Linked DNA regions of Drosophila melanogaster. The protein of the gene in region 2 interacts with the protein of the main gene of each other region in a pairwise test. Each region holds a gene or a part of one and is shown on either strand. Other genes may lie near its edges.

Region 1 (8,523 bases), on a different chromosome or scaffold from region 2:
GGGTGCTATTTTCATGGGTGTGGGTGTACTGGCGTTCATAAACAAAAACAAAGGCCAGGCGACAAGGAAGTTTTGTTGTGTGCATATTTTAGTTTTTACCAGTTATATATTTTATTCTTTATTTATATTTTTATATATTTTAAATTAACTCATTTTGAATGGCATGTGTTTCCTTTGCTCGAATTTTAAACTTTTGTTTATTTATTTTTGAAAATATATGTCGGGTGTTTTCTTGTTTTTGAGTGTCGTACGCATAACGTTACCGCTACCGCTCCGTTACCGTTTCCGCTCCCATAACCGTTTGAGCTCGCTTTTTCATTTCCTCCCCGCCCACCGCCCACCGCCCACCGCCCACCGCCGCCTTTGCACATTTGCAAATAGCGACAGTTAAAGTTTATTTACTTGGTAACGGTTACTTTGGACCAGAACCTTTGCCACGCAACTCGTTTTTGGGAGTCCACAGCTATTCGCCATATACACACACAATCGCAACGGAATCGGTTAACTGCGGTGGTGACGGAATTTCGAAAAGAATCTATTCGAATCGCACTCGAGAATCAATCGAAACGCCTGGCGTTAATGGTTTACCAATTGGCCAGGGCGACAGCTGTTCGGCCAGCGGAAATTGAAATTGGAAAAATTGAATGGAGCATTGAAAGAAGCAGAAGCAGGAGGCGGAGCACAATCCACAGGATACAGGAGCTTTGGACCAAAGGATAGTCGGCGGCAGAGCGTGAAATTAGCTTAAGTGCTTGTCGCCTCGACCAGGACACACCAGTGGATACAAGTGCGACATTAGATACGATACAAGAGTACCCGAAAGTAGAGAAGTACCTTCATTCTGGCGAACTTCTAGCCCAACCCCAGTGCCTCGGCCTAAACCAGCGATTCAACCGTGCACGTGTTTGCCAACTAGCTTTTTGACTGTCTAATCCTGCGGATGCGAGAATGCAAGGACACCATGTGATAAATTGCACCCCAGAGGGTTGCCATAAAAATCATCGCTTCACCCAGCTGGGGTGACCACCTCACCCATCTCAACCATCTCATCCAAGGGGTGCAAACTATTCTACCCATATATGCTACCAATCTATCTATCTATCCCATCACTGTATCTATCTGTCTATTGTGTAGCGTTAGCATAGATACCACACCATCGAGCCAAGTGCTGTTAGCTCCTTTGTTGCTAATTGAGTTTAAAATCAATTTGTATTTTTTCACGCCGCAATTTGTTCGAGCGCACAGCTACATTGCGTAATTGCCGTGCAAATTTAATTACAGCGCCGATGCGGTAATGCTGGTTGACCAACAAAACAGCCACGCGCTGCGAACGTGCGCCCTTGTCACACCCACTCACAATACGGAATCAGCACCCAGTGGAACACCCACTGCAGCACCCATCGATCAAGGCCTCAATCAAGTGGTGACACTCGGAGCGCTCCGAGTATCGAGTTACCAGCGAAGGTCCATTTGCATTCCTTAATTGAAATTCGTACGCGTGGGAAGACCACGCAGCCTGAAAGCTTTGAATCTCCCAAAGTTGGATGTTGCTCCATGTTTTTTTTTTTTTTTGGAAGAGATGATCTTCCATTTAACAGATTTCACTTCTCATATTCATATTCAATTATGCCACATAGTAGTTCAATCCAATTCAATTGCAGGCATATTGCCGGGCTCACTTGCTCCTGTGCCCGCTTAGGGCTGGCTAATCCTTCTGATAAATGGTCCGGGCTTTGGATGAGATGCAGTGGCTCGTTTTTTAGCGCGCGCAGAGATGTTGGAAATTTTTAGAAAGGCAAACACAAACAAGGCATTAAGTGGCATTAGACAAATGCCTTTCTACACATGTTCCAGCGTAGAGATTACGCCGTGTAATTGGCCCCACCTCCATTCGCCCGGGGTGGGTTCCGGTTTTCGATTGACATTTGGCCACGGCTGCGGGGTGGGCTACTGCTCTGCTCTGCTCTGCTCCTTCTACAATTTTTTTTTTTTTTTTTGTTCTTTCTTTTTATCAATTGCCTTGTTTGCGCTGGGACCATAAATAAGGGCATTACTCGCAGGGGGCGTGCGCGTTTTCCTAACAGGTGTCTATCGACTCCTGGCTAATCCCATGCCCATGCCCATGCCCAGCTCCCTGACATCGAGTTCCTTACTTACTCGTTCGTTGCAGTTCGAAGGCCGATTCCAGTCGAAGCGTCTCAACAACTGGGAATATCCGCGATTCTCACCACCCCGCCCACGTGGTCTGCAGAAGAACGCCAAGGTTGTGGCGGCCAATAACGGTCACCTGCTGCCCGAAGTGATAAAGTAAGCAATTGCCAATGCCCCACAATTATACAGTTTAATTTTAATCCACAGGGAGGGCAACTCATTTGGCCAATATCGTGGAACCTACGAGCTACCGCGTCGAATAACCCGTGCCTTTTGCGCCCACTACGATGCCTGTCTGAGTGGGCGGTACAAGTTTGTTGACTTTCCGCGTGACCTGTGCAATTGTCAGCGAGAGAACCGCAGGGCACTGGCCTGCGATCAGCGGTTGACCTTGGGCCACAAGGACGATCCCTACTGGATGCGCGAACGGTGCCAGACGAAGTGCGAGGGACTACAGAAGCTGAGGGCGTTGAGCGAGCGGAGTGCGCGCTGCAATCGGGCCAAGTGCGACGTGGTGGTGAGTGGGAATCGGGGTCACCATCGGGGTCACCATCGGTGTCACCTCTTACCAATTATGTGCACCCAGATTATTGAGTTATCTGCAACCAAGCTATACATATTTTCATTTCTGGTTGCACTTTTTGCACTTTCATCCTGCACCCTGCACACTCACATTCACATTCACCTGCAACCGTAGAGCGAGAAAACCGTGAAGATGACGCCGAAGGCAATCAAGACGACGGGTGTGGCCACCGAAAAGCGGCGTCGAAAGCGCACCATAACCGCCTTTTCCAAAGGACGAACGGCATTGCATCCCAATGAGCTGACCAAGCCGATTCCATCGTCGGAGAAACCGGCGGCGACTGTCGCCACTCCCAAGGACAAGCCGAAGGACAAGCCAAAGGACAAGGAGGCGGGCAAGAAGGATAAGACGAAGGATAAGGGCAAGGAGAAAGAGCGCAAGGCGGCGAAGGGCCATTAGTAAAACTTCATTATTTTGTTCAACCGAAATTCAAATCAAATTCATTGTAACCGCAGGTTTAAAATACATTTTAAAGGGCAGCACGATTGCACTCAACACAAATCATATAGCATATATATTTTATAACTAAACCCAGGTTAAACCATCTGTTACATATGTACATAAATCATACATCATTATCATCTCCATCTCCATCTCCATCTTATCTCATCCCATTCCATTCTGCACCACCAACGCATTGCAACAAGTGAACGAACCTGAAAGCCACCTACTCCATTACTCCATCCAATCATGTCGCAAACAGCTCTCCCGGAACTGAGCTACACGCCGGGCGACCTAACAGAGCCGCAGTTCCGGCTGCCCTCGCACCAGGAGCTCCTCGACCAGAAACGCAACAGCACGGACAGCGTGCCACTTGGTCGTCTCACCTTGGACACGCGCGACACGCAGCCCATCAAGTACAGGGAGCAGCTGGGCTCGGCGGCCGGTCGTCAATTTCCGGCATTGGCAGCGGCCCAAAATCGCTATACGGATCACTTGGAGCGCAGCAGCGAGTTGAGCTTTGCGTGCCTGGAGCCGGGCAAGGATCTAATCTCATTGCCGACGGTGGGTATACGAAGCTTTGATCTCGATCCCGTATCCGTATCCGAACCCGATTTGATCAAGAAGATGCCGCTGCACTCGATCACGGAGAAGCCCAACGAGCGGTGTCCATCGCCAGTGGTGCCGGCATATGCCAATTTCGAGCTGGCCAAACGGATGCACCAGGACAATTTGGACCACCAGCCGCTGCCCGATTGCGTCGCCGATTTGGCATTCCGGCGAGCGCAAATATCCGGCGGACATGCTGGCCTGGCCCTGGAAATCGATCCCATTGCCACGGGCGTGGGTGTGAAAACGCACAATGCTGGTCCGACGCACTGCACCAAGATGAAGGTCTTTCGTCCGAAGACCGGCGGTGGCATCGTGCCACGTGCCCTCGGCAATGGCGATGCCTTTCGAGGTGTTGGCTCCGCTCCGGCCAAAAAGATGGGACCCATGGATTTGGCCATTTGTTGGGACTTCAAGCCGGCGAATCCATCGGATGAGCCGCGCCTGGCCAGGCACATAGATGGCTCCAATGACTCCGCTGGACCGGCTGTCTTCACCTGCGTGAAAACGCCTCGCGAGGAACAGTCCTCGGACTTGGGCCGATCGGCTGGCGTCTTCACCAGCACGCTTGGTGAGGCCGATTTCTTCGACAAGGACATCCTGAGGAAGCGAACGGATTTTGGCGGTGCCCGTGTGGATCGCGAGGATCCGTGCGCCTGCGACTACTCGCCACCGGCCAGACAAAGAGCACGCAGTGTCTCCCGCGATTCCAGTGCATCGCATTGCAGGCGAGGATCGGGCATCGGCGGTCCAACTGGCGGTGTGAGTTTCGGCAATTTGGCGGAGCTACCCGGTCGCGGGATGCCCGATCGTCTAGCCAAGCAGTATCAATCGTCACCCCTGCTGGGCGACAAAGCCTACCAGGCTTTGAGGGAGAAATATTTGGGTCCGGACTCTGGACAGGATTGCAGGGCCATGGATTGCCGGCCAACGGGTGGTCCACCATGCAAGCGAGACGTTCTCCTCCGGCGTCCAGCTCGACGTCTCTGCCACAAGGTGGCTCCAGCTCCCAGATGCTGTCCCCCATCGTTCGGCGGACATGGTCATCACCATGGACATGGACACGGACACGGACATTGCTTGACCAGTAAGGCGGCATTTCGCGCCGGAGTGCCCAAGCATAATGCCTCCGGTGATTTCGTGGGAATAGAACCGGGCTGCGGAGGAGGTGGCGGTGGCGGTGGTAGGGTTCTGGTGGTGCCACGCCCCCGGCAGCCGTATGCCAAAAAGAATTACGACATCGAAACCCTGGTGCCGCCCTTCCAAAGCCAAGCGGGCGGAGCGGGTCAGGGCGGCTATCCAGAGCACTGGCGATTGGCCAGTGTCTATCAGCACGCCTACAAGCCCATCGACCAGCGGCGGCGACCCCTTCTCCAAACTGTCTACAAGTAGGTGTGCTCCAGGATGGCAGTCCGCTCAAGAGAGAAATGTCCGGACAAACGGGATAATGAATAATTGAAAGCTATACAAAAATGTCCATAAGCTAAGCAAGTATATTAACTTATCAACTTAAATGTTTGCTAGTCATTAGCATTAAATTGATGCATCTGTACACACAAATTAGTCGGAAAAATCGGTCCAAGAATAGGAAATCACACGTTTATGTATAAAAAAACAAATGTTATATATATTAGAAAGCATATATATATATATATATAAAGATATATGGGCAAACATACATACATACATATATGAATAAACGTGCAAACATCAAGTAACTTAAAACTATAAACAGTGTGCAAATTAATTTGCAGAGTTCGCTTGAAAAATTAAGAAAAAAAACTTGATTAAAAACTAGGTGATGATGTGGTTTTCAGATGAAATAAGGTTTCCTTTCCTTTTTTCGCTGGTCTTGTGTGACAATCTTTGGGTGCAATTAAAAACTTAACTAGGTGCTGAAAAATCGAATTGAAAAGAAGTCAATTGGGTCAATTCAACAAGGGGAAGGCGCATTTCAAAAATAATAACAAATAAATTTAAATGCTTTCGGTTACAGAAATGCCATTTGAAATCCCCTAAAAATCGACGCACCAATTGAATCTGTGGAGCCAACCTGCTCACTTGGCGGTTGCATAGGCATCGTGACTCTTGTGGAACACATGGCGCAGCACGTCCCGCGTGGACCGCCTAATGCTGTTCCGCAGTGAGTGCTTCTTCTCGTTGGTCAGCTGCTCGATGGTCATGTACTCGGTTTGGGCAACGCTCGAGCGGAGCTTCATGGTCCGTTCGCTGGTGTCGATAATGGAGACGTCGGCGAGAACGGGCTCCATTTGCTCCTCCAACTCGGCCGCCTTTTGTGGCCTCCTGCGCAGGCTGTGCCGAATGCTATTGAGTATGTTGTGCTGTCCATGGCCCTGTCCATGTCCATGTTCATCCTTGTCCTCGGACTTTACCTCGGATGGCGTGGTGTGCGACGTGGGATGCATCAGTCTTCGAATGGACTTTCTTATCATGCCTTTCATTCCGATACTGGGCTTAACTTCTGCCGATTTGGCGGACTTGCTTGATCCGATGGACTGCAGCGACTCCTTGCTGGCCGCCTTGGAGGGCAGAGCGGCGGGTCTGTAGGCGCGAACGAAGCGCGCGGGTGCCTTGAAGTCTAGATCATCGGGCTCGTCGTCGGATTCGGATTCGGAGGCATAGGCCACATCGCCGTCGGTTGGCTCCTTTTCCCGTTCCTCTTCTAGCTGCCTTTCCAGGAGCTCCTCCTCCTCCAGCTTCTCCTTCTCCAGATGCTTGGCCCTCTCCTGGAGCTTTTCCCTGAGCTGCTCGTGCAGCTTCTCCTGCAGCTTCTCTCGCTCCAAATGTTTTTCCCTCTCTAGGAGTTTCTCCTGCTTCAATTGCTTCTCCCTCGTTAAATGTCGTTCCCGCTCTGAGACCATCTCCTGCTCTAGAATCTTCTCCTGCTCGAGAATCACCTCTGCTTCGCGGTCCTGCTCGAGCAGCTTCTCCGTGTCCTCTTCCACCTCGGAAGCCTCGCTAATCTCGGTTAGTGTGCGTCGTCTGGTGCAAACCAGACGCCTCTCCACTTGAGTGTCCACCGTCACCACTTCCTGCATCATCAGCTCCTGCGTATTGGTCTCCATGACCAAGGAGACCTTGGTGTTCTTGGGCAGTTCCACCTCCAAGCTATTCCTGGGCAACTCTCTATCCACCAGCACGCCATTCTTCCGTAGCTTCGCCTCGTTGATGCTGTTCTCCAATTCCAGTTGATAGCGATCCAGCTCCTTGCCAATGTCCATAGACGACTCCTCGCTGATGGCGCCCAGCGATCGTTTGGGCGCCGGAACGGGCGAAAAGACCAGCTTCTCGGCCAGCAGCTTGCTAGGCGTTAGCTGCGTAAGGGACATGCCGTGAAAATCGATGCGACAGCCCAGCGTTGGCGTGAATGGCAAGCCGATCTTCAGGCTGGTGGGCAGCTGCTCCTCCGAATCCCTATCGGCCAGTGCCGGATTGGCCACACCCGAGGGATTGCAGGCTGCCTCGGACGCCTCGCTGGGCCGATGGATCTCGAAGGGATTGAGCGAGGCCGGCGCATCACTGCCGCGCAAATTCAGGGCAGGATTCACGAAGCCCTTGGCGGGCGTGGTTGCCGAGCGGACGACCTAAAAATATTATGGCTGAGTTATAATAATATTCTATAGCTATATATAATAAATGTATGATTTTTATGTAGTTTTTAATATATAGATTATAAAGATATTGTTTTATTTAGAAAACAAACACATATGAATGATTTCTACTGTAACTTAACTGCGACAAAAAGTACATCCATGTACGATTAGACTAGTGAACTCACCTCATATGGATTGAACTGCTTCTCGGGCAGCTCCAAATTCAGGCCAGGATTCTCGAAGCAGGCATGCTCGCGCTTCTTCTTCTTGGGCGGCTGGCGCAGGACCTCAAAAGGATTCGTGGGTAGCTTTTGTTGTTGTTGTTGCTGCTGCTGATGATGCTGCTGGTGCTGCTGCTTCTGGGCCAGATCAGCTATGGACTTGACCTCCAAGCCGGGAAACGGATTGGGTTGGCTATTCTCCTTGGCCAAACGACGACGAGCCACCATTAGCTTCTTGGGCGTGGAACTGAAGGCGGCGTTGGTGAAGCAGGATTCTGTCGACGCGACAGCTGCATCCTGTGCGTCCTTTTCTGGGGGTTGTTGCTGCGGATTCGGGGGCGGGGCAGCATTTTTATAGAGCGTCTCCCTTTTGCGTTTGCGCGGCGTCTCCGTGAAAGCCAATGCAGCTATGCTCTTCGTCTCCAGCATTATTCAGTCGATCACAAGTCGATGTGTATATCTTAAGTTTCTTTAATCAGATTCAAATTGTTTTTCTAGAGCAGCGAGGAGCAATTATAAACAACGCAGTACGACACCAAATGCCATTTTGAAAATCCACAGACAACCGGAACCGGTTGCATCGTTAGCCAACACTGCGTCCGAACCGGTTCTCAATAGGCCCTGTTAATCCCATATTACATTGCTGTTAATAAAATTTTTTACTTATTCACTTGTATCAACTAACCAAATGCTTTATTTGAATTATGTACATAATAGTATATATATTATATATGCTTTTTTCATTGATTTTAACATTTCAGTATGTACTTTAGGAAAATGTAATGTAATGTAATTTTAACCAAAATAATCGATATCGATAACAAAGGCATCTAACCAACTATCGCCACCGATAGGCGATAACTTTCGATATCAGGTGGCTCAATTTGTTTTCGAATGATTTTAG
Region 2 (7,989 bases):
TTTCCACATGGGTCTATAGCCTTTCCTCAGCAGCATAATTTACTATATTTATCTCTTTATCACACTTATAACAGCGCCTTTTGTAACTTTGCAGTATGAACATGGAAACTGAGTTCATTGGATCGGCCTAAGTTTGTGATAAGAGGCCATTGCAATTGCATTGTGAGTGCTGAAACGGGGAAACCCCGGCCAACTTGTTGACACAAATGCTGCACATTCATGCTTCAAATATAAGCATAAATATTTCTTCACTTTTATCAGCAGAATCGAAAGGGTGCGATAATCATCGAATGCTCCTCGAAGTCGAAATGACTGAACCGAGTGCATCGGACATTTCTGCACTTTCGAATGCAATGCGTTCGAGCGCCGCGTTTGTCGGCGTTCGGAGGCTTAACCGGAAACTTTTAATTTAATTAATTTATACACAAAGGCGTAATCAAGAGCACTGGCGACTTGAGGAGGTCGAAGGACGGGCGGTAGGCGGTGGGCGGTGGGCGGTGGCATGCGAATTGCGGTTACAAGCGCCGTGTGCATCTGATAGATAGATAGATACACCCCACCTTCTCCACCTATGCCCGTGCCATACCATCCCATCCAAACCGAACCGAACGCTTTTGATGTTCACTCGCCCTGCTCGGTTCATTTCGCCATAGTTTGCTTTATTTCCCTGCCCATCGAGTGCAATTCCAAAAAATCCGCCATAAGTAGGAGGCTGGCATCCAAAAGATACAAGATGTATCGCTAATGCAAACTGCAGATGTCTTTTCTTTTCGCTACGCGGCAGTAAGCGGGCAACAGGTGAACTTTGTTTATTGATGCACTCGTTCCGCTAATTTGTTTGCTCGGGATGATTTAATGGGCTGCCCGCTGACAGGGTCAAGGGTGGGTGGACATGCGAATGGATATATGGAGGGATCCGCATGGATGTGCGGATGGATTGATATATGGCTGATGGTGATGACCGGAACTGGATGTTATCAATTAGCCAATCAACAGGACATGCGATACGTGCAACAGGTGAAGACTTTCCCCGCTGCGAAAAGCAAATATTTAGTTGCCTTTGCGGTTAGCATAAACATAATGCTGAGTCCGAATTTTATCGATTTTCTTTTTCGGCTCTCTAACATATGTTCTTTTTTCGTTTGTTTGCACTAGCACTATATATAAATTAAAGTAAACTTTGGGGGTAATTAGTGTAGTTACCTGGAATCGAAGTTGGATTTCCAGAGAGTGGTCCTAAAACTAGAAGGAGGAGCCACAGGTGGTTTTATATATCAGAGAAACAAACACCTTTGCGAATTCATAAATCCGCGATCCAATCACCTGTTGCGTCTTGATAATCTCTCTTTGGCTCTGTATTATTTTCTTATAGCCCGAGACGCTAATTCAATTGACACTCTTTCGGGCCTCGCTGGGTTGCCATAAAAACTGGATGGAAAACTTTTCCAAGCTTATTTAGTTTGGCATTTCATTGAGACGGAACCGCACAGACACAGGCACACACGCACCGGATTTGTTTATTAATTTTATTATTTATTTTTTATGGCATTCGAAACTGAATTTTAAAACTTGATACCGCTGCGATATGCGATTCTCCACTGCGGATATGCGAAATATCCACCGCGCTGGCCAACGCTCGACGGCAAAATGCGCGAATGAATCGCACGGATAGCAAGCCCAAGCAGTTGGGATTCGGGCTCGGGATTTCCGAATCGGGTAACCCAACTGGGGGACTTCGGGAAAAGTGGACGAGCCCCCGAGCTGCGGACTGCGAGCTGCGGACGCCTGTTGAGTGCTTGGAAAAGCGCGGAGAGTTGCAGTTCTACGGCTTGGCCTCCGTCCGGATATAATCGTAAACGAAATATGCTGGCTCTTTTCTTTATAGCTATGATTTGTGGCTGTCGCCGAGATTCCGCTCGCTATTTCTGGCCGCCGTTTGTGAACGTTCTTTACACTTTCAATGGCACTCAAATATAATTGAGACGTAAACCGCGATGGGCAATATGTATTTTCTTAGACGGACCAATAAAGAATCGACGGGTCTGCCAATCAATCGGCATCCGCTCATTGATATTGATGGCCCAGCTGGTTGATCCTTGGCTTCGGAGGGGTACTACTTTTCGATGCGGATGTGCCCAAGAGCACGCAACCCCCGAAATAATCGTTTGGCCAAAATCAATTTGTGCCATTGTGCTGCTTTATGGGCTGTCATCCCGGTATAGAACCAGAAGCCCCCATAAAACCCCCATCGATCCATCGGCTTGTTAGCAGTTCATCAAAATTGTTTGCCGCATATTAATTGCCCGATGTTGGGGCTGCTACTGTGTCAAGCGGAGTGCGATCGTATTGCTCGAGCATCGGGTATTATTAATGCCCCCATACTACAATATCATATCGGACCATCACCATCGACTGGGAATATCGTTTTATTGACATTTACGTGCACGTGACTGGCCTGCGAAGATGTTTGCCTTCTGTCTAGCGAATAGTCACTGCTTTAGATGTGCAAACAAAATCGCGATGCTTGCTGCAGCCAATCCGGCGTATACGTAATGAACTGAGCAGCACTCTTTTTGCCCGGATCTGTAAGTTTTAGAACCATATCTATGGGTCCACGTGCTGGCAATTTGCACGCCCATTTTGGGTTTTACAAGGAGATTTGAATGCAATCGATTCGGAGCGTAGTCAGCTCGCACAATTTATGACCGCACTTTAATTGCTTTTGAATTTTAAGAAATATTTAAATTGTGCGAGAGACAGGGAAGTGCGAGTGACAGAGACAGCGGGAGAGCTTCACCACAGCCGTTGGTAAGCTTACGGTAAAACTTCGAAAGGTTTGTGTCTCAGCTAATGCTTAACGCTTTAAATGATTATTTAATCTTTAACATGGATAATTTCCTTGTAAAAATAAAACGATTATTTTGGATGGAAAATGAGAAAAACTAGTTGATCAAAATAATCCATGTTTCCAAGTGGTTTTTTCAATATTTCTTGACTGAAAATGGTCGTAAAGTAAAAATAATTACTGTTTTGTGCAGCTAATTACCAATGCTTACGATCCCTGTCCCGTTTTTTCGAATTAAGAAAAAAAAATTTTTTTGTCAATTTTCGAATTTTTATAAGGGGTAACATCATCAAATTTTGCAAAAAATCGCAAAAATTTAAAGTTTCCAAATTTGAACACTAATCGATTGGGAAGTTAATTAGGAGTAAAATAAGATATGCCACTCCACTTTTGAACCATTATTTTCAAAGTTGTGTCCAAAAAACGCATTATTTTTTAACCAAAAACAGGGAAATCGAGCTTGGACCAAAAAGTCATATTTACAATTTATAGGATTTATAATTATAGAATTTTTTGAATGCCTATCAAATGGGACTTAACCAGCACTATCAACAGCTCATTAATAAAAACAACAGATCAGCAAAACAAACTCAGTTCTCAAACTTTTTAGCAGAGCGGGCAAACGGCTCAGATCCATATGTTGGCCACTCGTATCCATTCGGTCTCGGTTATGTAGAGCCGCAGAAATGCGATATGGGGAACCCCTCCCCACCAAAAATTGCAGGCACATTCAATGAATTCCACAGTCAGTCGGAAAAATGGTGGGGGGGGGGGGTATGGAAAATGCATGGGTGCTAAACGTTTAATAATTGTCGTTGCCCACATGTACACTGCAAAGAATTGTACACTCAAAAATAATCCTATTTTCGTTATGTACGTTTAAACTGCGTTCTTTCAGTGGATCTCTCTATATATAAAGACATTACAGATAATTAAATTGTGAGATATTAAGCACAGAAAGGTTGACTGCATTTCTCATTGTGTATAAGAACAGAGAGCTGATCTCCCCACTGCACTCGGAGTATCCAGTTACTCGCCGGGCTTCAAACTATCCGAGTTCCCGCGTTCTTGCCAATGTGAATTTTGTTTACCAGCCATATCCATATCTTATTTAAATATGAACATTTCTGCCGCCCCACAACCGAGCAGTAGACACATTTTAATTAATAAGCACTGCCAGACGAGACGGCTTCTGTTCTCGGGCTCTGAATTCTGGGTTCTGGTTCTGGTTCCTCGTCTGGTTCTGGTCACAAAGTAGTCAGTCTTCAGCGCAGCTCGATAGCGAAAGATGTTTGCCGGGAGCGGCGGTCTCAGTGCCACCGATCCATCTAATCCAAGGTCGCGGGAATAGGACTGCTCTACTGTGTCGTTTGGCGCCATGTGCTGCTGGTGTGCACGTGTCTACTGGACGGTTCTGCACAATCTCCTGGCTCGCATGATGGACAGCCTGATGGAAGTCAGATCGCCCACCTTCTGTAGCTGCTGCTTCGGTTATCAGCGGCAGGCCAGTCAGGAAGGTGACGTCGCAGAACGGGTTTCCAGCACCGACGACGATCCACAACAGCAGCCCCGTGAGGATTACGTCATTGTGGGTGAGTACGCATCGATCTCTCGGTTTCAAAACAAAGCCAAATCCCCAGAGTGACGGCATATAAACCAAAACAGAAAGCACGATACAGTTCGTAGAGCTAAATTTAACTCGAATTTAAGTTTAAATGATCGAAATTTGATAAATAATAGATAACTACAGAGGCATAAATTAATGTAGAGTAATACTCAATTAGAAGATTAAGCGGTAAATAGGTCCAATTACTAATACAACATTTTTAATTCCGCAAAGACGATGCCGATGTCAACTACGCGGAGATTGAGGAGAGGCATGTGGAAAAGGAGCAGTACTACTTCACAGTGGATCGTCCTACGGCGGAGCGAATGCTCCATGGACGAGAGGACGGGTCCTGCCTGGTTCGACCTTTCAAGGCAGCCGACCAGTGGATCCGTTACATAGTGAGCATCTGGGCGGCGGATCAGTACTATCACCTGTTCATAAGGCAAGTGGATAGGAGACAACGCTATGCCATTGGTCAGAAGAAGTCTCAGGAGCGCTGCTTCGGATCCCCCTCGGAAATCGTGGAGTTCTACACGGAGCATCCACTTCTCTGCACCAACAAGGTCCGGAGCCAGTGCGTCCAACTCCGTCCCATCAGTTACGCTTAGCTAGGGGTCAAATCTTTATTGCATAAGAGAGGGCAAGTATGTACAAATGGGGTTAGCTTAAGACGATGCTCAGGTGGCCACCACCGCCTTGAAGGCGCACTGGTTGTTCTGCATCAGGGCGGGCCAGAGGAAGGCTTTTATCAGATCCGATCGCCGGTCCGCCTGGGGATGCCGCTCGTGTTTCTCGGGCCTCAGGAAACCTGCATGGGATTTACGTAGGTGTAAGATTGTTAAACGATTAAAGAGTAGCTTAAAACCCACCCAGGTTGAAGTCCATGTCCAGGTAGTACGGCGCCTTCTGGTTGATCATCCTCCAGGCCAGTCGGACACAGGCACTGACGTAGTGCGTCAACGGGGGGCAGGACTCCAGGCAGGGGTACTCGTGCAGAGTAGATAGCACCTGGTTGAACACCGACCGCTCGATCTCGCCCAACGGGAAACTCTCGGCGGTCTCGAAGAGGTGCTGGCGAACGGATCTGTCCAGGGACAAGGTGGTCTCACTGCTGCTGTCCAAGGGGCAATTCAGGACTCGCCGAACTTCCAGGACCTTTCGCTCCCGCATTCCGTGGCACAGGCGGAAGGAGAGCTACACAAGTACCAATAAGTTAAGAAAATTATCAATTAGATGACTATCTAATTAGACTTACTTATGAATGAATAAATAGTTTTTCGAAAATCATAAATATGTGACTTATTATTATCAACTAATCTTGATGGTACCATTTCCCTGCAAAAGTGTCGTTCATCTGAGATCGAAAGTGATTCAAATCCCAAGCGCCTACGTAATTTTCTGACACCCTGGGGGCTCCACTTTCCCTCACATTTTCACTGCACCAACGCCTAATCATCCTCTAGTGCGAATTCGATCTTGCAAAATTGATATTTTGCAATCGCAGTTTGTGGTCCGACAGGATTTAAAGCATCCAGAGCCCACGGGCTTGGCTGGAAATAATTGATGGCCAAGCACTTGAAAATTGAAAGTAATCTTCGCTGGATGAATTGGTCTCACAGTTTGAGAGTCATTGTGCTGTGCTAAATTTCCAAACGAAAGCAGTGCAAGCAGTTCGTACGCTGAGCTACTTCAAGATCAAGTTTATCAGCTTTTGACCTGCCAAATGCCAATTGGAAGAGTTCGTCCCAATTTTAAAACAATCGCTATTTTTTCACTTTTGACAAGGGCTTTATTCTATTTGAATAGCCTTAAGAATTGTATAGAAAAATATCTATTAGCATTGTAAAGTTAAAGTGTTATTGACATGGAATTGGCACGCTGAAAGATTATGAACGCCCATAATAAATTGAGGCTATTCATCACAAATAACTCCGTACTGTCTTGACAAGTGAAAACGAAGGAGATAATTATAAAAGTAAAACTATGTTGCTAGCGATTTATATTCCAAAGACAAGTGAATGATTGACTGGCAATAATTTCTCCTCATGATTTAATCTCAAATTCTTTCTCAGCCACCTAAAGTTTAGCAACGAAATTAAATACAACGTAATACAAATAATGGTAGCGAACACACCCAATAGAAAACTTACTTATCTCCCAAAAAAAAAAAAGTGAAAACAAGGCCGACTCGCAATTGGCACTAATTTCTCCCGATCGAGGTAATCTCGAAATACGTTCGGCCTCTTTAACAATCCATTATTGAGTGTTCGGACATATCTACTGTATCTACAATCTACAACCCATCCCAAAACACATACGAATGCTAGGTACTTCAGACTCACCACGATCATGGAGAAGAGTATCTTCCCCTTGAGGCTGTGCGCGTGTTTTATCTGGGGAAGACTGTCCAACGCCTCCAAGGCGTCCGCTCGGTTCTCGACGTAGAGATTCCGATAGAGCGACACCATTTCGCTGTGGAGATAGAGAAATGGAATCACAAATCAGAGTGTGGGATGCGGGCAGGTGAGAGTTGGATGCGGTCGCGATCTGATTTGACTGAGTTTGTAATGTGGGTGTTGCACCTTATTGGAACTCGGTCAAGTGTAAGAATTAGGTTTTGTATGTATTCTTTATGTATGTTTTTTACCTGCTGTCATCGCTTCCAGAGTCGTCCGAGTGATATCCATCGCTGCAGCTGCTCGTGCTAGCGCCGCCTGGGGGAGTGGTCTTTCCAATGGAGTGGGAGGAGCCCGGAGGACCTCCTTCAGGGCCCATCATGTGGAGCACCACCTCGCAGCCGCGGGAGAAGTTCATCAGCAGACCGGCGGCAGGGCGTTTCTCCACGAGCGCCTGTGCGTCCAGACGACGCACCTGACCCACGCAGGTGAGCACCTCCTTGTCGTTCTCCACCCGCGTGCTGAGGTTCTCGACCAGGGTTTGGAGCTGCTTGAGAGCCGGCTTGTCTAGCATTGTGAGCAGGGTCTTGTTGTCGATCAGTCGCTGCTGAATATCCCCATAATTGATGGCCAACAATCGTTGATGGGAGGAGTGAGCAGGGTCTTGGTTGACAGTCACCATGCTCAGCTCCTCCAGCTTGTGAATGGCCATCTTGTAGGTATCCACATGGCGTTGCAGCTCGGTTTTCAGGGCTACATGTAGGGAAATAAGCTGACCCGAGGCATCGGTGGTCAGTCCATGGACCCCAAGACCTTGTACAGCGTTATCAAAACTGCGTCTTCTTTCCCTCAAAGTCTGCCGGAGCCCTGGTTCGTACTGAGCCAAGGCCTGCAGGAGTCGAGTGCATCTCTGCCGGAGTCCTGATTCATGGGGATTAGCGAACAGACGCACCAACTGCCAGGCCACCGTTTCACTAGGCACATCTGGCTTGGGAGTGGTGTTCAGGGTGGTCAATCTGTGGGAAAATTAAAAAAAAATAGTAACGTTTGATATAAAACGAAATATTTTTAGAAGACTCACAATATTCAACTTTAATAATAACTCACCTGGTAAAGAAAGACTCCAGAAGGTAGGCACT
Region 3 (7,207 bases), on a different chromosome or scaffold from region 2:
GGACGGCCGTCAACCTACAACGGGTTATCAGAAATAGAACCAGCCAGCGGATAAATCTGAAACTAGGGCTGCAATGTGTGGAAATATCAAATCAAATATTCCTGATTATCTTAGCTATTATTATTGTTATGATTCTTTGAATATGAAATTGATTTGCTTTATTAAATTAGTACAAAGCCAGCATAGACTACTTCAAGCCTACAAATATGTATCAATTGTACAGACTACATACATGATATTCTGAATTTGATTGAAAATGTAATGTACCATAGATATATGAATTATGAATGTGCGAAAGATTTATCAGACTCATGATTGTAAGCCCAAGAATAGCTATCTTTCAGATGATATGTAAAACTGTTGGGAAAGATCCAGCAAAGGCATGAGGTGATTTAATGGTTTTGAAACCAAAGAATTTAGATAACTATCCTGCAGCCCTAGAACCTATAAGTGAACTTCGGTGCGACCCCGCCTCTCGAATGCTGTGCATTGAGATCTAGTGCAAGTTCGCTGCACCGAAACCCGTTTGCAATGACGCGGACCACCGCTGCCTTCCGGGCAGACCAAGACCGGGCGACATGTGGCAGTGGCATGCCAAGGCGATGGTGGAACCAATGGCAGGCCGATGGCGATGGTGGTGGCGACCTGTGCCTCTTACACGATCCGAATCCAAGTCCAAATGCGAATCGGAGCGGAGCGTAGTGATTCACGAACTGATCCGCTGGCAAATGCGGATCGAAAATTGGCCAAACGCCAACGCGACTTTGTCAAATGTACCCGTACGAGCCCAGGCTGGAGATTTCTTTTTGGCCGAAATGCAAGTTGGGGGCTTAGTTCATTGCTAATGACGGCATGTTGTCGGTAACTCGATAGGGGAGTGCGCACTCGTATGTGTTTGCATAGTTGGGTGTTTAAGCATATTACCCGTATGTATGCACGAGTATGTCTGTACATATCTATCTGTCCGTCGGCCCCGTTCGATTTATTTGTCCGCGCTCCACAACAAAGACTCATAATAATCTGTTGGGCCAATCAAGTAAAATATGCGCGAGATCAGTCAACTACAGAAACAAAAGCAAAAGTAAAGCAAAGCCACTGCAGCAGCAGCAATAGCAAAAGCAACAAGCACAGCAGCCGCAGTAATGAAAGTGAAACCGAGTCTGGCCGAGAGACTCTGGCTGAGATTGAGACCCGGCCAAGAGTCGGTTCTAGCCAGCACCGCTATATAAGCTTGATGGCCGGGCTCGGCAGCAGCAGTGCAGCGCCGACCAGGAACCCAATTGGAAGTTTGAGCTACGACTCCATAGTCCAATTCGGCAAGGATTACCATAAGCCCCACACCAGAACCAACTCCACAACTACCAACCACCCACTCACCTCAGCCAACATGTTCTGCAAGCTGGTAAGTGCCCTTTGAGCCAAGTTTCTGCCCACAAGGATAGCGTCTGAAAAAGTTCCTTTAACTACTAAGTGGAGCTGGAATCCAAATCTGCAACATTTTAGTTGAAGTTCTTAAGATCCGAGGATCCTAAGTTCCAGATATTTTTCAAACTACAGATGTATCTTATTACATTTAAAAATTCCATATTTTTTTAAAATCTTTTCAAAGCTTTTCGCTACCTTCGTGGCCCTGGCGGTGGCCAAGCCACAACACCAACCTGCTGCCCAGTATCCGGCTGGCGTGAATCCGCAGGACTGCCCCAACTTCCCCATCTGTGATAATGCGCGCCTGCACAATCCGCAGCCGCAGTGGGGTGCCCCGCAGCCACAGTGGAACCCCCAGCCGCAGCCACAGTGGAACCCGCAGCCACAGTGGCAGCAACCTCAACCCCAGTGGAACCCCCAGCCGCAGCCACAGTGGCAGGCACAGCCCTCGTGGAACGCAGCCCCTGCTGCCGCACCCGGTGGCGATAAGTATCCAGCTGGCGTCAATCCGCAGACCTGCCCCAACTATCCCTACTGCGACGTGAACGCCGGACACGCTGGTGCTCCCGTGGCAGCTCCTCCTCTACCTGGCTGGACGGAGCGTCTGTATCCCGCCGGAGTTTCGCCGCACCAGTGCCCCAACTTCCCGTACTGCAACTAGGGCGGCCTAGGGCTCACTTGCGGCCAGCCGCAGCTTCCTTTAACGCTTCGCCTTTCCCCAGTTCTCAATTAGTGGACATTAATCTGAAATTCTTTGTTGTTGGCGCCGAAATAAATGCAAAATGTTGGTCAAAGAAATGGGACTTTCTATGGTTGATAGCTGCAGATACATGGGGGTATACAAATCGTTCTATTCGCAACTACAACTTCTTACTATATTACAAAATGTAATTGTTGGTTGGTTCATAGAACTCTTACTAATGAAGAAAAGATTAATTGACCAAAGTAAGCATTTATAATTAAATAAAGTAATTTGAACTGTCTACAATCAGAAACTCATTCAGTCAAGTGCGCTAAATGAGGTATGAAAGAAGACTGTTAAGATCCTGCTCCATGAAACTTGATTTACAGAAAGGAATGATCCTGCTACTTTAAGCTTGAATTATATGACGGAAATATCCCAAATTCTCAAGTTAAATTGATAAGAGTTCCGAAAGTGTAAAAGGTATATACTTAATTAAACATTTCCACTGCCCTAGGACCAGTTCTAGCTGAAAAGCGTGCTGAACTAGGAACCAAGAGAGCTCATGCCCCGAGAATGTGCCCTGCCACGCCCCTGACTTGCAGCACAGTAAGTACTTGGGCAAGGAGCGGAGTGGACGGACCGGACCGGATCGGATCGGATCGGGTTCGTGGAGATCGTAGGAAGGGAGAGATCGGAGCGGAGCGGACGCGGACTGGCGGTCGACCTCAGTCGGAGCTGGTCAAGTGAGTGCTTTGTGAAAGTCGTTCTTGCAAAACTTCGGCTTAATTGCCGCCTTTGGGAGACCGGCCCAAGGTCAAGTGCAACTGCAAATTACAGTCTTGCAGTGGGATTAACTAATGGAGCAATGATCCAATCGAACCTATCACATTCCCGACCAATTCACCTGAAATATGCGTGCAATCATTGCTTTATTTATAATCAATATAGCATTGCCCCATTTTTTTTGCTCTTTTTTGGCAGTGTGTGAAAAAAGTGCAACTCACGAAAGTAATTTTACAAACAAATGTAATGGGAAGTGATTATGGGAAACTTATTGCATGAAAAGGAATATTCGAATTCTTGGAATCCAAAACGATTGAACCAAATGAGATGAGATATAGTTATTTCGGTACTCTACGATGATTATTCCACTTAAAATGCAGATCGATTTGTAAAAATTCAAGTACTTTATTGCTACAATCACAGTACAATTTATTACTTGGCAATGGATCACATTCAGATGAAGAGAGGTCCTCCTAAGGCGGCGTAAAAAGAGTACGCCACTAGCCAGGAATAAAGGCAAATAACTGAAGCAATGGGGAAAAATTAAGGGATTGTGAAATCTTAGATACACTTAGCTACTTACAGAACATTATAGCATACGTGATCATTACCCAGAAACAAACGGCGAGTATGACGTCGGATACTATCAATATGAGCATTGCTACCGCCATGATCATAGTCATTATTATGTAGAAGAGCATCCAGCTGCTCCGTAACTAGATCAAATCATAAGTATTATAATTTGAAACTAATCAATTGTACTGGTATCTCACCCGTATACTGCCGATGATCAGGAAAACGCAGCTCAGGATGTGCAGCATAACGAAGATAATGAATAGGGTGTGACCCAAATCGGGAATACCTATGGGTGTTAGGATCATATCCTTGCTCTCAAGTATCCTGCTTCACTTACCCGACTCCCCAAATAAAGCAACAAATGTGCCTCCAAGGATATCCGCTATAATGTGCAAAATCCCTATTGCTATGGTTCCGATTCGCAGATCCACGCAGCAGCAGCAACTCTGTAGATATATCATGGTGCAAATGTGGTAGTGTGTCTATTTGTGGCTATTTGCTATCAGGGTATTAGTATTTGAGTATCTGAGTATATGGGGTTTTTATTTTATGTGTACAAGTTCTGTCACTGATAACAAAAATCTTTTGAAAAATATTACTTAACAAGTAGGTTATATTCTACCATCTTATATAGTATATAAATATAGAGATAAGCAAGTTTCGAGTCTTCAAAAGTAACCATCTATCCTAATCGCAACAACTTAAAAAGCCTCAAATAACAAAATCGTTATTTCATTCCCATTAAAAGTATTTGGTTTATTAGATTACTTGTGAGCCATCAAACACTAAGGTTCCACTTCAGGGAATCCTGCCATAAATACGCCAGGATTGTTCTGTGTACAGTCGAATTGTGATTTATTTACATTCATTAACTTAGCATTGTACAGTATTTACAGGCTGCTTCAGATGGGACTGGCTGAGTGGGTGGGTTTGAAGACAAGCAGGCCAGCGGGCAGATGGCTTACAGCCAGCCGTGTCCGTGGTGGGAGCTCCAGCCGTGGTGGTCGTGGTGGTCATCGAAGACATGGTGCACCGGGATCTCCTCGTGATGGACGTGGTGCACCGGCACGGGGATCTCCTCGTGGTGGACGTGGTGCACGGGCACCTCCTTGTAAATGGGCACCGGCACGTGCTTCACCACCGGCACATGGACCTTCTGAACGTGATGGTGGTGCACCGTGTGCACCTTGTAGGGCACGTGGATGGTGTGGTGCTCGCTGCGGATCGAAAGTGAAATCGGTTAGATCGAATGCCATGTACCATCGCCTGTTAGCTAATCAGTTGCTTGAACCCAGCGTCTTGGCAGACATGGCTATTGCATATTGGCTATTGGCAATTGGCAATTGATTCGCACAATTATGCGCGCATTACGCTGAATTAAATGCCAACCGCCGCCTGCGAAATTCCTAAGCCGCGAGCCAAGCCAAGTCGAGATCGGCTAAGTTCAATGGTAGCCAGTGGTGGGCACCATATAGAGACTGCTGGAGGGGGCTGGGGCTCTAAGTGCTACAAGCGTTTTGATTGCTCAATTCGATCGCAATCGGACACATATTTCATAGACCCACGGAGCAGTCGCAGCGTTTAAAAAGCCATGCGACCGCTCGTTAGCTTAGCATAAAGCGGGAAATGGGTATTTTTATCGATTCGCTCGGGTTATTTATGGATCAGTTCAGGTGCAGATCGCCGCCGATACTCACTGTTTGCCAAAGAAGCCGGGACTGGGTGCGCAGTAGGCCACGGCGAAGAGGGCGACGAAGATCTGAAAGGGGATAAGGAAGTTAGTAAGTTAGGTCCGGCTAGATTAACGCAAATAGCTAACTAATCAGTGTGATTAGTTTTAATTTGGCACTTCAAAATTTATGTTCAATTCTGGTGAAATCTAAGTAATCTAATGAAATGTTAGTCCGCGATTGATAAACATAAACTAATATTTTTGGGTGAATTTATATTTCTGCAAAATAAATGCTTTCGCAGTTTCTTGAAATATCTATTCGAGACTTTTTAAGCCATCAGGCGATCTTGGTGGTATATTTCCAATACTTCGGTTATCGAAGTCAGTTTTCAGTGAGTTTGTTATGTTTCAGTTGGTTAGTTTTATTCACGATAGTCCACATGAGTTTAATCCTTTTCAGCTCCATTCCGCGGAGGTTTGGCTTAACACTTTTTCGAACGTTATCCTTGTCGCACTTACGAATACTTTCAGGACGGACATGGTGGCTGGGCTGAGCTCTGCTGCACTCGAAAGGCGATACTAAAACCGGAGCACTGTCAGGTGGTGACTGATAACCACAGGCTGCGACTCATCCGTTTTATACCGGGCGCCAGCAGCGCTTTGTGTTGTTGCTGCAAGCCGACTGCGCTGCACGAGAAAGACGTGACGTCGGTGCAGCAACAACAGCAGCAGCAGCAGCAGCAACAACAGCAGCAGCAACTTCAACGGCCAAGCGAAAATAAGCATAACAGTGGACGCGCGACTGTTAACATGGCCAACATGGTGTAGTGATATGTGATTTGTATTAACCGTCGTTGGCATCTGTTTACGAGGGGTTAAGACCCTCTGGTCGGTGGTAAAGAGGGACTGGGAGCGGTGGTCCATGCTTCAGTTGTCCACAATGGCAGACGATCGAACTTTGACTTGGCGGGGCTTTGTGTAATACGGGGCAAATTACGTTCATTTCATAATCATAATCGCAAGACAGAGCGCGGAGTGGAGCTAAAATCATTCCGAATGCATGACCAAGTAGCACATATACCGCCGCTGACTGGATCACTTAGCGGCCTTCTGTAGACCGCCGCAAAAAGTGAACGTGTGCGGCCGGAGACAAAACAAAGTTGTCACGCTAATCCAAATTTCTTGGCCCTTCCATATCGCTTGGAAGACATCTCCACCAATCGACCTTGAATGTCTTCTGTGGTAATAGTGGTAACTGTCGTCGCTGGTGTCAATTGATGTGGGTCAGCGTTGGAGCTACAGGAGTCCAGTCTTGGATGTATCCCCAGCGAAACTCACATCACGACGCATGGAGCACGAAACACGTACGCCGTAAATTTGCAATAAAACGCATTTCGGGCAATTACTTAACAGTAGCAGTAGATGTGGCGCTAATCAAGCAATGCATCACACGATTTTGAAGAAATTCCATTTTGATTGTGTTTGTGTGGATTTGTATTGTTTTTGCCCATTCTACAATGCCACAATGCCCCTGACATAACGCTGGCCACGTCAGCTGCTGTTGCAACTGGTTGTTGCATGTTGCATGTTGCTGCCGTGCTGTGCTGTTAACTCAACTGTCAAGAGCTTCAATTTGCGGCGTGCTTAACCCATTTAAGGCTGAACAAGGAGCTTCCGTTCAGAAATATAATCTATAATCAAAATGGGGTAAGTGATATATGCACTACTAAGTCTCCACAAGATTTTATATCTTTAGTCTGGCAACAAGATAAACAGAGTATTATAGTTCAACCTAATAAAAAGTGGCTCCAAACGGGTTAAACCATTAGTATCACTCGCTGTTTTTTTCTTTCACTCACTCGGCTTTCATGTGTATATATAGGCCAGTGTGCTTTTACTGCGTTTGAGGGCGCACCACTGCCATCCTGCCCCACCGAGCCATCGAACCACCAAAACACCGCACCATCGGCTTTCCCCACCCCGTTCGCCGGGATGTTATTGCATTTGCGGCAAATTGCTCGTTTTAGCCATGCCAAATTGCATAATGGATATTTGTCTGAGCGATA

Evidence for each region. The genes of interacting proteins can lie anywhere in the genome.
Region 1: the proteins of CG15529 (region 2) and CG3081 interact in a two-hybrid assay, tested with the Drosophila melanogaster proteins (one large-scale study listed by BioGRID).
Region 3: the proteins of CG15529 (region 2) and CG43183 interact in a two-hybrid assay, tested with the Drosophila melanogaster proteins (one large-scale study listed by BioGRID).

What each region holds. Positions count from the first base shown.
Region 1 is NC_004354.4:4,635,978-4,644,500, reverse strand, and holds CG3081 (uncharacterized protein), read left to right. Parts: upstream 1-3,338; 5' UTR 3,339-3,424; coding exon 3,425-5,176; 3' UTR 5,177-5,242; downstream 5,243-8,523. Other genes in the region: CG3062 (uncharacterized protein), read left to right, coding at 2,171-2,307, 2,359-2,668, 2,849-3,133; pon (partner of numb), read right to left, coding at 5,842-7,389, 7,584-8,048.
Region 2 is NT_033777.3:30,147,958-30,155,946, forward strand, and holds CG15529 (uncharacterized protein), read left to right. Parts: upstream 1-4,101; 5' UTR 4,102-4,223; coding exon 4,224-4,437; intron 4,438-4,685; coding exon 4,686-5,062; 3' UTR 5,063-5,131; coding exon of another isoform or gene 5,132-5,262; 3' UTR 5,263-5,323; coding exon of another isoform or gene 5,324-5,648; 3' UTR 5,649-5,742; downstream 5,743-7,989. Other genes in the region: CG11498 (uncharacterized protein), read right to left, coding at 5,132-5,262, 5,324-5,648, 6,797-6,926, 7,102-7,866, 7,958-7,989.
Region 3 is NT_033778.4:8,589,044-8,596,250, reverse strand, and holds CG43183 (uncharacterized protein), read right to left. Parts: upstream 4,057-7,207; 5' UTR 3,931-4,056; coding exon 3,807-3,930; intron 3,756-3,806; coding exon 3,667-3,755; intron 3,610-3,666; coding exon 3,477-3,609; intron 3,418-3,476; coding exon 3,347-3,417; 3' UTR 3,282-3,346; downstream 1-3,281. Other genes in the region: CG8736 (uncharacterized protein), read left to right, coding at 1,388-1,402, 1,610-2,086; CG14752 (uncharacterized protein), read right to left, coding at 4,431-4,686, 5,167-5,228, 5,661-5,681.